Linked DNA regions of Macaca fascicularis. The protein of the gene in region 2 purifies or fractionates together with the protein of the main gene of each other region. This does not show direct contact. Links are inferred from orthologs where the notes say so. Each region holds a gene or a part of one and is shown on either strand. Other genes may lie near its edges.

Evidence for each region.
Region 1: the proteins of DPF2 (region 2) and SMARCD2 purify together in Homo sapiens (affinity purification with mass spectrometry; 6 studies listed by BioGRID and IntAct, counting the BioPlex papers as one, with this or other methods). This does not show direct contact. The link is inferred for Macaca fascicularis from reciprocal best matches to the Homo sapiens genes DPF2 and SMARCD2.
Region 3: the proteins of DPF2 (region 2) and SMARCD1 purify together in Homo sapiens (affinity purification with mass spectrometry; 9 studies listed by BioGRID and IntAct, counting the BioPlex papers as one, with this or other methods). This does not show direct contact. The link is inferred for Macaca fascicularis from reciprocal best matches to the Homo sapiens genes DPF2 and SMARCD1.

What each region holds. Positions count from the first base shown.
Region 1 is NC_088390.1:70,343,034-70,346,681, forward strand, and holds part of SMARCD2 (SWI/SNF-related matrix-associated actin-dependent regulator of chromatin subfamily D member 2), read right to left. Parts: intron 2,604-3,648; exon of another isoform or gene 2,557-2,603; coding exon of another isoform or gene 2,485-2,556; intron 1,558-2,484; coding exon 1,373-1,557; intron 1,170-1,372; coding exon 1,127-1,169; intron 980-1,126; coding exon 857-979; intron 1-856. UniProt on the Homo sapiens protein: Involved in transcriptional activation and repression of select genes by chromatin remodeling (alteration of DNA-nucleosome topology).
Region 2 is NC_088388.1:9,036,064-9,039,711, reverse strand, and holds part of DPF2 (zinc finger protein ubi-d4), read left to right. Parts: intron 1-2,739; coding exon 2,740-2,900; intron 2,901-3,323; coding exon 3,324-3,431; intron 3,432-3,648. UniProt on the Homo sapiens protein: Plays an active role in transcriptional regulation by binding modified histones H3 and H4. Is a negative regulator of myeloid differentiation of hematopoietic progenitor cells. Might also have a role in the development and maturation of lymphoid cells.
Region 3 is NC_088385.1:56,919,130-56,922,777, forward strand, and holds part of SMARCD1 (SWI/SNF-related matrix-associated actin-dependent regulator of chromatin subfamily D member 1), read left to right. Parts: intron 1-294; coding exon 295-411; intron 412-1,639; exon of another isoform or gene 1,640-1,683; coding exon 1,684-1,785; intron 1,786-2,041; coding exon 2,042-2,203; intron 2,204-2,293; coding exon 2,294-2,391; intron 2,392-3,648. UniProt on the Homo sapiens protein: Involved in transcriptional activation and repression of select genes by chromatin remodeling (alteration of DNA-nucleosome topology).

The DNA of each region.
Region 1 (3,648 bases), on a different chromosome or scaffold from region 2:
CACCATTTTATGGGGAAAGAGATGCATCACCAACAACGCCAGCACAGTGGAACTGGTGCAATGGCAACGCGGAGGCCTCTGGCTCACATCTTACATGATACCCAAACACCCATCACGGCCCCAAAATATCCTAGTCTCCTGGAAAGCCTTCCCCACTCAGGACGGTTCTAGATTATTATTAAGGAAAGTTTCTCGGCTGGGTGCAGTGGCTCTGTCATCTTAGCACTTTGGGAGGCCGAGGCAGTCAGGAGTTCGAGACCAGCCTGGGCACCATGGTGATACTAAAAATACAAAAATTAGCCAGGCGTGGTGATGGGCGTCTGTAATGCTAGTTACTCGGGAGGCTGAGGCAAGGAGAATTGCTTGAACCTGGGATGTGAAGGTTGCAGTGAGCCGAGATTGTACCACTGCACTCCAGCCTGAGTGAAAGAGCGAGACTCCATCTCAAAAAGAAAAAAGAAAATATTCTCTATGGATGGGGAAGGGGAAGGAGAAAGGAACTACCTTTATCCTCTAGTGGTTTTCAAACTTTTGAGACCACGACCCATAATATTTACATTTTTCAGTTATGACCCAAGGTCTGCATATCTATTTATCGGAAACAAAAATATCATGAAAGAATACCTTAACTACTATGGTAAGTACTACTGTGAAGTATTTTTAGATTTTCTACTGTCATATATTAATTTAAAACATACTGGCCCTAACACATTCAACTGAGTTCGTACTCTACTAGTGGGCTGCATCCTGCATGTGAAAAACCCAGCTCTAGCCCAACTTGCTTGGCCCCTGGAAAACAAGGGGGTGGAGGGCAAGGAAACCTGGGAAGGCTAGAGGTGGTCAAGGTCACACATACTGTCAGAGGCTTTTTAATGGCCTCCTGGATCTCCATCCGCTTGCGAGCAATGGTCTGGTCCAGCTTCCGCTCAAAAGCCAAGAGATCCATGTATGCCTGAGACTCTGGGACAAGCTCCCGGATCTGGAGGAAGGTAGCAGAAGCTCATCAGCTTGCTTCAGCCAAAGCCTGGCTCTTTCCTCCCTTCCTGCAGCCCAGGGTTGAGGGAGACGGATGCCCACCCCGAGGTGGCCACTGGGCAGGCCTCCCAGGCGTCCTCTTAACACTTACTCGCTGAGGTAGAACTTTATCTGCCATCTTCCTCCTCTTTAACCTGGGGAGTTCAGAAACCCACTTAAGAGATCAATGGTCCAAAAAAGGACACTCACCCCCGCAACGTCCCTCCAGTCTCCAGGACCCTCTCTCCCAAGAGAGCCTGGAATCTTCCTCAGACACCAAAGCTCTTAAGATAGAAGGAAACCCTCTGCTACCACCAGAGATGAGTGAGGCAGAGTGGAATAAGCAGGATGCTCTTACCCCCGGCGCTGGGCAGGCATGGGAGGCTGCGCCTGGGGCACAAGCAGGCGTTTTCGGAATGGATCCATCATGGTGGGTGGCATGCCAGGTCGAAGCGGAGCTGCTGCACCAAATGGGGAGCCAGCAGGGGGTCCCACCTGCAAGCCGGCCATGGGCATCCGGTTCCCTGGTGACATGCCAGGTCGCTGGGGGAAGTGAGCCAACGGGGGTGCATAGGTCAGGGGCAGGGCCCTCCAGGGCCCATAGCCTATGCCCTCCATCCCTCTCGTCAGCCAGGTTGGGCCTGAGCACCACGCCAGAGCCCTGCTGGAGCCCCAGGAACAAAGGAGAGCGGGCGTCGGAGCGAAGAGGGTAAACCATACCTGCCCTGCCCCCTGCAACCACCCTGGCAGCCATGCCAGCGAATGAGGTCTGCCAGAGCCTGGGCTGGGAGGAGGGTCCTGCCTGCAGAGGGAAGGGCCTACAGGAGCCCCACCCAGTCCCTATTCTCTCAGACAGTCCCGCCAAGCCTTGCCCTCCTCTTTCCCCCATCATGAGGGAGAAGCATGGCTGAGAGGCACGGGGGCAGTGTCACTGCCAGGCAGAGGGGTATACTATATCATGAGCAGGCCAATGGTGCAGAGCCCCAATCCCCATCCTCTGTGGCCGAGGGAGAAAGGGGTCTGGTAGGCAGCAGCACCCCAGGTGAGCAGGGCTACAACAGGATGACTTGGAACGCGTACCAGCTGGTGAGGGCGGCCTCGGACAGGGTACCGGGACCCTGTCCCCTGTACTCTGGTACCATATAGCCCCTACCCACAGCCCAGAACTGGACCCTCCTCTCACCTCCTTACTGCCCAACTACTGCCCCTATGCCAAAAGACCCCAGAAGGGAAGCCATGGCTCCTGGGTGGCCTGTGGGAAAGACAGCAGCTGGCACCTGGACTCTGCCCGTGGTCCAGGCACCACCTGGCAGCCAGGACTGGCTCTGGCTCCGTGTAGCCCTGGCAATCCCAAGCTGAAGAAGGGGGCTAAGATTATCCTGGGAGGCAAGGATCAGAGGCCTAGGCTGAGCAGCAGGAAAGTGGAAGATAGAAATAGCTTCTTTAGATGCCTGCAGAAGGATTTCCCACTTGAAGCCTTGCTCCCCGACATTTCTGTGGAGCCCATCTGGGAGTCACCTCCACCCCCACCCCCCTCCCCATGGCTGCTGCCTGCAAGGCCTGTTTGGCAGCTCTGCCTCGCACACACTGTCCCTGGCAGCTTCACAGGGCTGGCCCCAGGGCCCAGATTATGCAACGAGCACAACCAGCCAACCAAGCCCGGCAGGGTGGAGACTTGTACCAAATCAAAGGACCCTCCCCCACTCCAGCATCATGGAGATGAGATTCTTCCCCAACCTCTTCATCCTGCACTAAACCCATGTTCCCAAAACAGAGGGTCAGATTCTTGACCAGATGCAGAGATGGAAAGAAACATGACCCACAGACGTGAGGATGGGGAGAGGAGGAGCAGGGTGGGAGGGAGGTGTTTGGGAGAATAAAAACCTCAAAGTGGGGGGCTCTGGGGCTTTGGGAGTCCTGCCAAAGTCTCTCTCCATCAGGAAGAGATTAATCAGAGCTGTTGAAAGGCAAAAGACAACCTCTTTCTCTGCCTTAAGGATTGTTCTTTCTCTGGCCTGAGATTATAGAAAAAAACTGAGTGTGACTACAGCTGTAAGCCCGGGCCCAGACATCCCAGACTTTAGTTTTTCCTAGTGCCTGAGACAAAGGGAAGAACTGAAGCACTGGGTCCTGCAGAGTGTGAGCGAGGGCCCTATGGTCCCCAGGAAGCTTCCCGCTGCAGCGTTCACAGAACCTGCAGCACCACCCATCCCTCCTGGGCAGGTGCTCTGGTAACAGGAAGTCCTAAGACAAGGCTGCACAGGCAGGGCCTGGAATAGGCTCCACCTAGACATCTGCTCCAGGCTTCCCGGGCCCAGAGCCCCCAGCTCACTCAGGACCCCAGGGGAAGGCTGCTAACAGTTCAAATTCTAGCTGAGCTTTGCTAAGCTCCATACCTGGGCTTATAGGTGCTAGCAACTCCTCCCCCTTCAAAAAACAAAAAACAAAAACAACTCAGGAGTTAGGAAAAACAAACAAAAAACAGTCCAGAACTCTGAGCCTCCCTAACTCCCTGCTTGCAACAGGATCAGGTAGGCCTGGATCAATCCCCTGAACCCCAGATGAGGAATCCAGGGCTCCAGTGAGCATGCTTTGCCCTGCCCCAAATGTGGCCCTGATGCTCTGGAACCTGGG
Region 2 (3,648 bases):
GAGGTCAGGAGTTTGAGACCAGCTTGGCCAACATGGTGAAACCCTGTCTCTACTAAGAATACAAAAATTAACTGGGCATGGTGGCGCACGCCACTCGGGAGCCTGAGGCAAGAGAATCGTTGGAACCCAGGAGGCAGAAGCTGCAGTGAGCCGAGATTGCGCCACTGCACTCCAGCCTGGGCGGCAAAGCAAGACTCTTGTCTCGAAAAGATATATATGTATATATATAGAGAGAGAGAGAGAGAACAGTGTTAATGTTAACTTGACATTTCTTGGTACTGGAGCCTTAAGTTTTTGTTGTTGTTGTTTTGTTTTGTTTTGTTTTAAGAGACAGAGCCTCCCTCTGTCCCCCAGGCTGAAGTGCAGTGGTATAACCTTGGTTTACTGCACCCTCAACTTCCTAGGCTCAAATGATTCCCCTACCTCATCCACCCCAGGGACTACGTGGGACCACAGGCCTGCACCACCAAACCTAGCTGATGGTTTATTTATTTTTAACGTTTTGTAGAGATGGGATCTGACTATGTTGCCCAAGCTGGTCTCTAAGTCTTGGTCTCAAGAGATCCACCGGCCTTGGCCTCCCAAAGTGATGGAGCATGAGCCACTGTGCCCAGCCTCCCTTAAGTTCTTAAGAGCTCACCCTCATCCTGTCCTGTTCTCTCTTCATCAGATTCTCCCCTCACAAACACTTCCATGTTTCATTCCCAGCCCTTGTATCCCCAAGACTGTTTGCTTTACCTTTTGAGATCCCACGTAGCTCACAAGAGCCCTGACAGAACATCTTTCATTCATTCCTCCCAATACTGTTTCCAGCCTCCTTGCTCTGACTTTGCAGCCCTCGCCAGCCTGGCCCTGCCTTCCATTTGACTTCCAGTGTCAGTATCAATTCCCATCAGCAGAAACAAAGGAGCTGCGGCACTCAGCCTTGTTTATCCAGTTTTATTCTGTGTGGTGAAGACGTGGCTGCCTCCTAAAGGCGAGCTCGCAGAGGCGAGGCTGCTTTCTCCATTCTGCTCTCCAACGTGAGATTCGTGCCTACCTCAGATTACAGTCATTACAGCTCATTGAATCATACCAGGCCGTATTTGTGGCGTTGCCATCTCTGTGTGTGCTATATGTCTTTTTTACTTGCTGGGCACATGGTAAGTTATGCAGTGGTCTATCGTGGCTGCTCGCTGAAGGCCCCCATCACATTCCAGATCAGGATTTTTTGGTGTAGCCCGAGTTATGGACAGAAACCACAGAGACTTAATCTGTTTGCTGTTTCATCCCCAGGCTGTTTCTTGTAAAATCCTGATATGTCAAAGCTCATTTGGTCCAACCTCCTCAATCTATAGAAGAATAGCCAAGGTCCACCTGGGTTGACTAAATGTCCATGTTCATGTGGTGACTTGCAGGCCAGCCAGGTCTTTTTACTCTCAAGTCAGGTCTGACTGTATCTCAGACATCTTCGTGAGTATTGGAGATACTATGAGAAAGAAATCAGTTCTGCCTTTGGTTTAAGATTGATTGACACCAGGTACTGTGACACATGCCTCTATTCCCAGATACTTGGGAGGCTAAGGTAGGAGGATCACTTAAGCCAGGAGTTTGTGTCTAGCTTGGGCAACATAGATTGATTGAATATAAATATGAACTGATAGAGTTTGTTTAACCTCCATTACCAAAGTCCTGGTTAAACCCTGCAAGATGAGAACAAGATAGGTTCTACGTACATGCTTCTTAGAACCTGGCACTGTGCAGTTTTCCAGTTTTCCACTTAAAGGTTTACCCTTGATTCAGATTTCAAATTGAGTCTTTTGAGACCAAGGAGATTTTTTCCTATATAATTTTATTTTGTAAGAATAGAGAAGCACCCTAAGATGGGCCTTAGAGCAAACAAGTTTCTTATCAGTGATGGCGCTCAATAAAAACTTCAAGGAACTTCAGGTACTTGTAGATATCTTCCATAAATGTAAAATTAATTAGTTGATTAAAAACCTAGTTCAAAATTCAAAAGCTATAAAAAGGCATATGGAAGGAAATGGCCTAGTCACCCACTTTTTCTCCCTGCTGACCTGCAGTTTCTTTTCCATTTTGTTACATAAATGATAGCTTTCTTTGACACTTCTCAGCAGTGTACCTTGCTTTGCTTTTTGTCCCTAGTTAACTTGAAATTCTTTAATATCAGTATGTGAAGAGCTTCCTTCTTATGGCTAAATAGAATTTCATTGTATGGATTTACTAGTTTGCTGAATACATTTTAATAAGCCCCCTAGACCTTGAACTCTTTCCCTCTGGAGCAGACCTTGGGGCAAGGATGTGGGAGCATGTAGTTTATTTGGGAGGTGATTCTAGGAAGGAGGAAATAAGGAGGAACTTAGGGGGGACTATTGTTTGCTTCTCAGCGTCATAAGGGTTAAGAGAAACAACATCTTAACTAGCACAGGGCTGGGCTTGTGAGACACATGGAGTGAACATTAGTTCCTTACCCTCTTTGGGGGTTAGACTTAAGTCTGATTAGACATATGATGAAATCATGTGTTCCTGATAGTAATTTATTCGTAAAGTAATTCCTAATGGTGGCCTAGAAAAGGGGCTTGGTGTCCCGTGAGGCAGAAGTGGAGGCAAATAGAATGGAAGAGACAGCCTCCCAGTCCCTTGAGCCTTCTAGAGAAGCAGATGACAGGGGAGAGGAATAGCTCAGCACCCTATGCTCCTCACTCCAACACACACGCCTGGTTTCTATCTTCTCTGCAGCCTTGGGGAGCAGTACTACAAAGATGCCATGGAGCAGTGCCACAATTACAACGCTCGCCTCTGTGCTGAGCGCAGCGTGCGCCTGCCTTTCTTGGACTCACAGACCGGAGTAGCCCAGAGCAATTGTTACATCTGGATGGAAAAGCGACACCGGGGTCCAGGTGAGGGTCCAGACTTGGGAGAAGGGGACTCAGGAGCATAAGGAGGAAGAAGCCTCCTCATCTTAGGTGATGAGACAGTTGATAGGGTTTTCCCTACTGCCTTCCACCTATGGATGAATATGGTCTTCCTGTGGTTAGAAACGCAGGGAGGATGAAGCAGATAGGTTGATACCAGCATCTTTGTTTTCTACCCTGCTGAGGCCATTGTGTGTCTGGAGAACTATGTATTAGCCAAGGCCCCTAAGCTTATATATCTATTTTTCTTTTCCACAGACTGTTCCATCTAACCCCCTAGGCCCTCACTGTCAGAATTCCTCCCTTGCTCTAGAACTCAAAAGGGGGAGACTACGTAATTAGAAAGTGTTTGGTATTATTTTCTAATACTGGGTTAGGGCCTGACTTCTATCTTTCTTCCTGCCGTAGGATTGGCCTCTGGACAGCTGTACTCCTACCCTGCCCGGCGCTGGCGGAAAAAGCGGCGAGCCCATCCGCCTGAGGATCCACGACTTTCCTTCCCATCTATTAAGCCAGGTAAGGCACATACTTCCTGCGCAGAGGCGTGGCCTGCTGCATGGTTAGAGCCTGCTAATCACTACGATATACCAGGCCCAGTACTAGATCCCAAATATACTCAAGTGAATATGATGTGATTCTTTCCTTTAAAGAGCTTAGTCTAGAAGGGGAGACAGGTAAACAGATAAGTTATGGTGCCAAGTGAACTAGGGTGTCTTAATTCCTGGGCATCCGG
Region 3 (3,648 bases), on a different chromosome or scaffold from region 2:
CAAACTCGCTTAGTTATATGCAATGGTTTGCTTAACTTGCCTCATTTCCCTTGGGCAAATGAGGTGGGTAAAACTGACCCTGTATGTGTTCTAGGCTGCTTCTTCAGGGTTCTGTTGTTACCGTGACTGGTTTAATACCTGCAGCTGCCTACTTTGCCTATCTCTCCTAAGAGATATTCAGAAAATATTTTTTGAGTTTTTTCTCATTGTGTTGGGGTTCCTTTTTCATAGGATTTTGTCTTGGGAAGTTTCTTCTGGCCTTTCGTAACATGATTTTTCTTTTCTCTCCTCTAGTCAGCCTTGTCCAAATATGATGCCACTAAACAAAAGAGGAAGTTCTCTTCCTTTTTTAAGTCCTTGGTGATTGAACTGGACAAAGACCTGTATGGGCCCGACAACCATCTGGTAGAAGTGAGTAGTTCTGCCTTCTAGGCTTTGACTCTGATTAGAGGATGATGGACTTGGGAGCCATGTTTTAATGTCTAAGGAGAGGGGGAGGTATAAAGTGGTCACTCTAGGTGTACACAGTACCACTCCAGGTGTACAGTTTGCACGTTGACCTCTAGATGGCACTAGCATGTTTAGTTAGGACCAAGGGCTCTTGTAATCTAACTTGTCCCATCTTTTTAATGTTACTATCCTGGTCACTGCCACCTCTTTCAAGGGAAAGTCTACTGGTGGCCTCTCGTACGTGCCATGCCATCTCTGCATCTTGCTTGTTAATAATGGTGAGATGTAGTTACCCATGCACCAATCATACTTTTTCCTGGTAGCAGTTGCTGTAATTAGAGGGATTGACTGATAGGGTACCAGTACTTGCCAAGGTTACCATTACAGATCTGGGACTTCCTCTTGGTCTGTGCTCCATTTACATTTACATTCCAATTCAGCAAAAATCCTTTATTATGATGCCTGATTGCACACCATTTTGAAGCCCATGTTAGCAACAGTATTCTTTGGGATACAGGCAAAACCAGAATGACAGTCCAGCCAGCACGCCAAGTGAACTTAACCTGCTCCTTTCTTTGCCAGTGTAGCTGCAGCCCCTTAACCTCAACTACTAAGAGACATGGGAAGGTCTTTACCATCTAATAAGGGAAGTAAGTCATAGAATCAATAGAAACTTGTAAATATATTAATTTAATTTTATAGCAGTAGAGTATAGTGGCTAAGAATGTGGACTATAGAATCAAACACACCAGAGCTCAAATGGTGGCTCCGCCACTTATTGGCTGTTTGACCTAGGCAAGTTACTCTATTCTGCTGAGCATCGTTTTCTCACCTGTAAAATAAGTATAATTGTGCCTATCTTGTATAGATGTTTGGGAAGTGAGATAATCCAGGCAAATGTCTTAGAATACTCTCACACGTAGTTAAGTACTCAGTAAATGATAGCTATGTTATGTTACTGTTCACATGTGTATTATCCATTTTGTGGATAGAATTATCACTGGACATTCAGGCTTATTTAAATGCAACCACAAACAGAATTAAAAGGTTAATCTACTTATACACAGACAGTAATCCCAGAGCCATATGCAGTTTTTTAAAATGCCTCATGCTATTGCTCTTCTCCAGTAGCCTCAGTAATCAAAGTTGAATATTCAGTCATTACAGAAGCTCTTCCCTCCCACCCCAGCTCTTCCTCTGGGAGAGCACCCCCTGACATCTTCCTCTCTGTAGTGGCACAGGACCGCCACTACCCAGGAGACCGATGGCTTTCAGGTGAAGCGGCCGGGAGATGTGAATGTACGGTGTACTGTCCTACTGATGCTGGATTACCAGGTATTCTGTGGTGGTGTGAGGGGGTCCAGCTTTTACAGCCATATCCTGTCAGCGAGCTCACTTTAAAGGGTTTATGTCTAGTTGTGAATAATTTGCCACTTTGTCACAGAGATAGAGTCTTAGTCATCTCTGAGTTCTTCCTAGAATGTTTCTGTCCCAGAAAAAGCACTACATTGTTGTTGAATAGTTTGAATGTATTGCTGCATATAGACCCAGCTAACTAGCTTCATCCCCTATACCCTTTGGTTCCCTGCAGCCTCCCCAGTTTAAATTAGACCCCCGCCTAGCTCGGCTCTTGGGCATCCACACCCAGACTCGTCCAGTGATCATCCAAGCACTGTGGCAATATATTAAGACACATAAGCTCCAGGACCCTCATGAGCGGGAGTTTGTCATCTGTGACAAGTACCTGCAGCAGGTAAGTAATGGACCCATTCTTTTGCTAGAATCCATTAGAACACTAGCTACACTCAAAATGCTAAGCTCGTGCTTCTCTCCTTTGCCACAGATCTTTGAGTCTCAACGTATGAAGTTTTCAGAGATCCCGCAGCGGCTCCATGCCTTGCTTATGCCACCAGAACCTATTATCATTAATCATGTCATCAGGTAGGCCTGTGTGTGGGAGGCAGTGCTGTGCCGGAGCTGCCTTGTACCAGTTTGCACAAGCTAGTTGTCAAATTTTCAGGAATTTTGCAAATAGGTTGTTAAACACAGCTGTTACTTTACAATTAAATTACATAAACTTATAATTAAATATATTAGTCTAAAAGTGGGTAACATATACTCAAAATGTATTACTTTCTCATTATTACATTTTATTGTATTTGTGCTCTTGAGGTTATTTTTGCCTGTTGTATACATCTGGTGGAAATATGATATAATGATATGATGTGCTTATATGTTATTGTGCATCTCTTCTCATGAACAGTAATGTAATGTTGGTAGCTTGAAATCAGAATTTTTTTTTTTTTTTTGAGATGAAGTTTCATTCTTGTTACCTATGCTGGAGTGCAGTGGCGCAATCTTGGCTCACCGCAACCTCTGCTTACTGGGTTCAAGTGATTCTTCTGCTGCAGCCTCCCACATAGCTGGGATTACAGGCATGTGTCACCATGCCTGGCTAATTTTGTATTTTTAGTAGAGATGGGGTTTCTTCATGTTGGTCAGGCTGGTGTTGAACTCCTGACCTCGGGTGATCCGCCCGCCTTGGCCTCCCAAAGTGCTGGGATTACAGGCCTGAGCCGCTGTGCCCAGCCTTTTGTTTTGTTTTGTTTTGAGATGGAGTTTCGCTCTTGTTGCCCAGGCTGGTGTGCAGTGTCATGATCTCGGCTCACTGAAACCTCCACCTCCCGAGTTCAAGCGATTCTTCTACCGCAGCCTCCCATGTAGCTGGGATTACGGGCACCTGCCACCATGCCCAGCTAATTTTTTTATGTTTTTAGTAGTGATGGGATTTCACGATGTTTGCCAGGCTGATGTCAAACTCCTGACCTCAGGTGATCTGCCCGCCTTGGCCTCCCAAAGTGCTGGGATTACAGGTGTCAGCCACTGAGCCCGGCCGAAATCAGATTATTTAAAGCCCAAAGATCAGCAAATGCACGTATCTGGGCACTTCCTCCTGCTCTCCTTTGGAAGATCAGTTGTTAAACATTTACCAGCTCTTCACTGATGGAAGAGCTCAGTGGCCATCTTTTCTCTGGATGGTACAGCATTCTATTCTGAGCCTCCAATTCCATTACTTCTATTCACTTTTTTGTTTAGAGGATGGAGAGCAAGGCATCTCTAGGCAGATAGGAAGTGAAGAAAATTCCTTCTCAAAGAAGCATGGCTCTGTAGTTGGATATAGTCTCTTTGCCTTTCTTC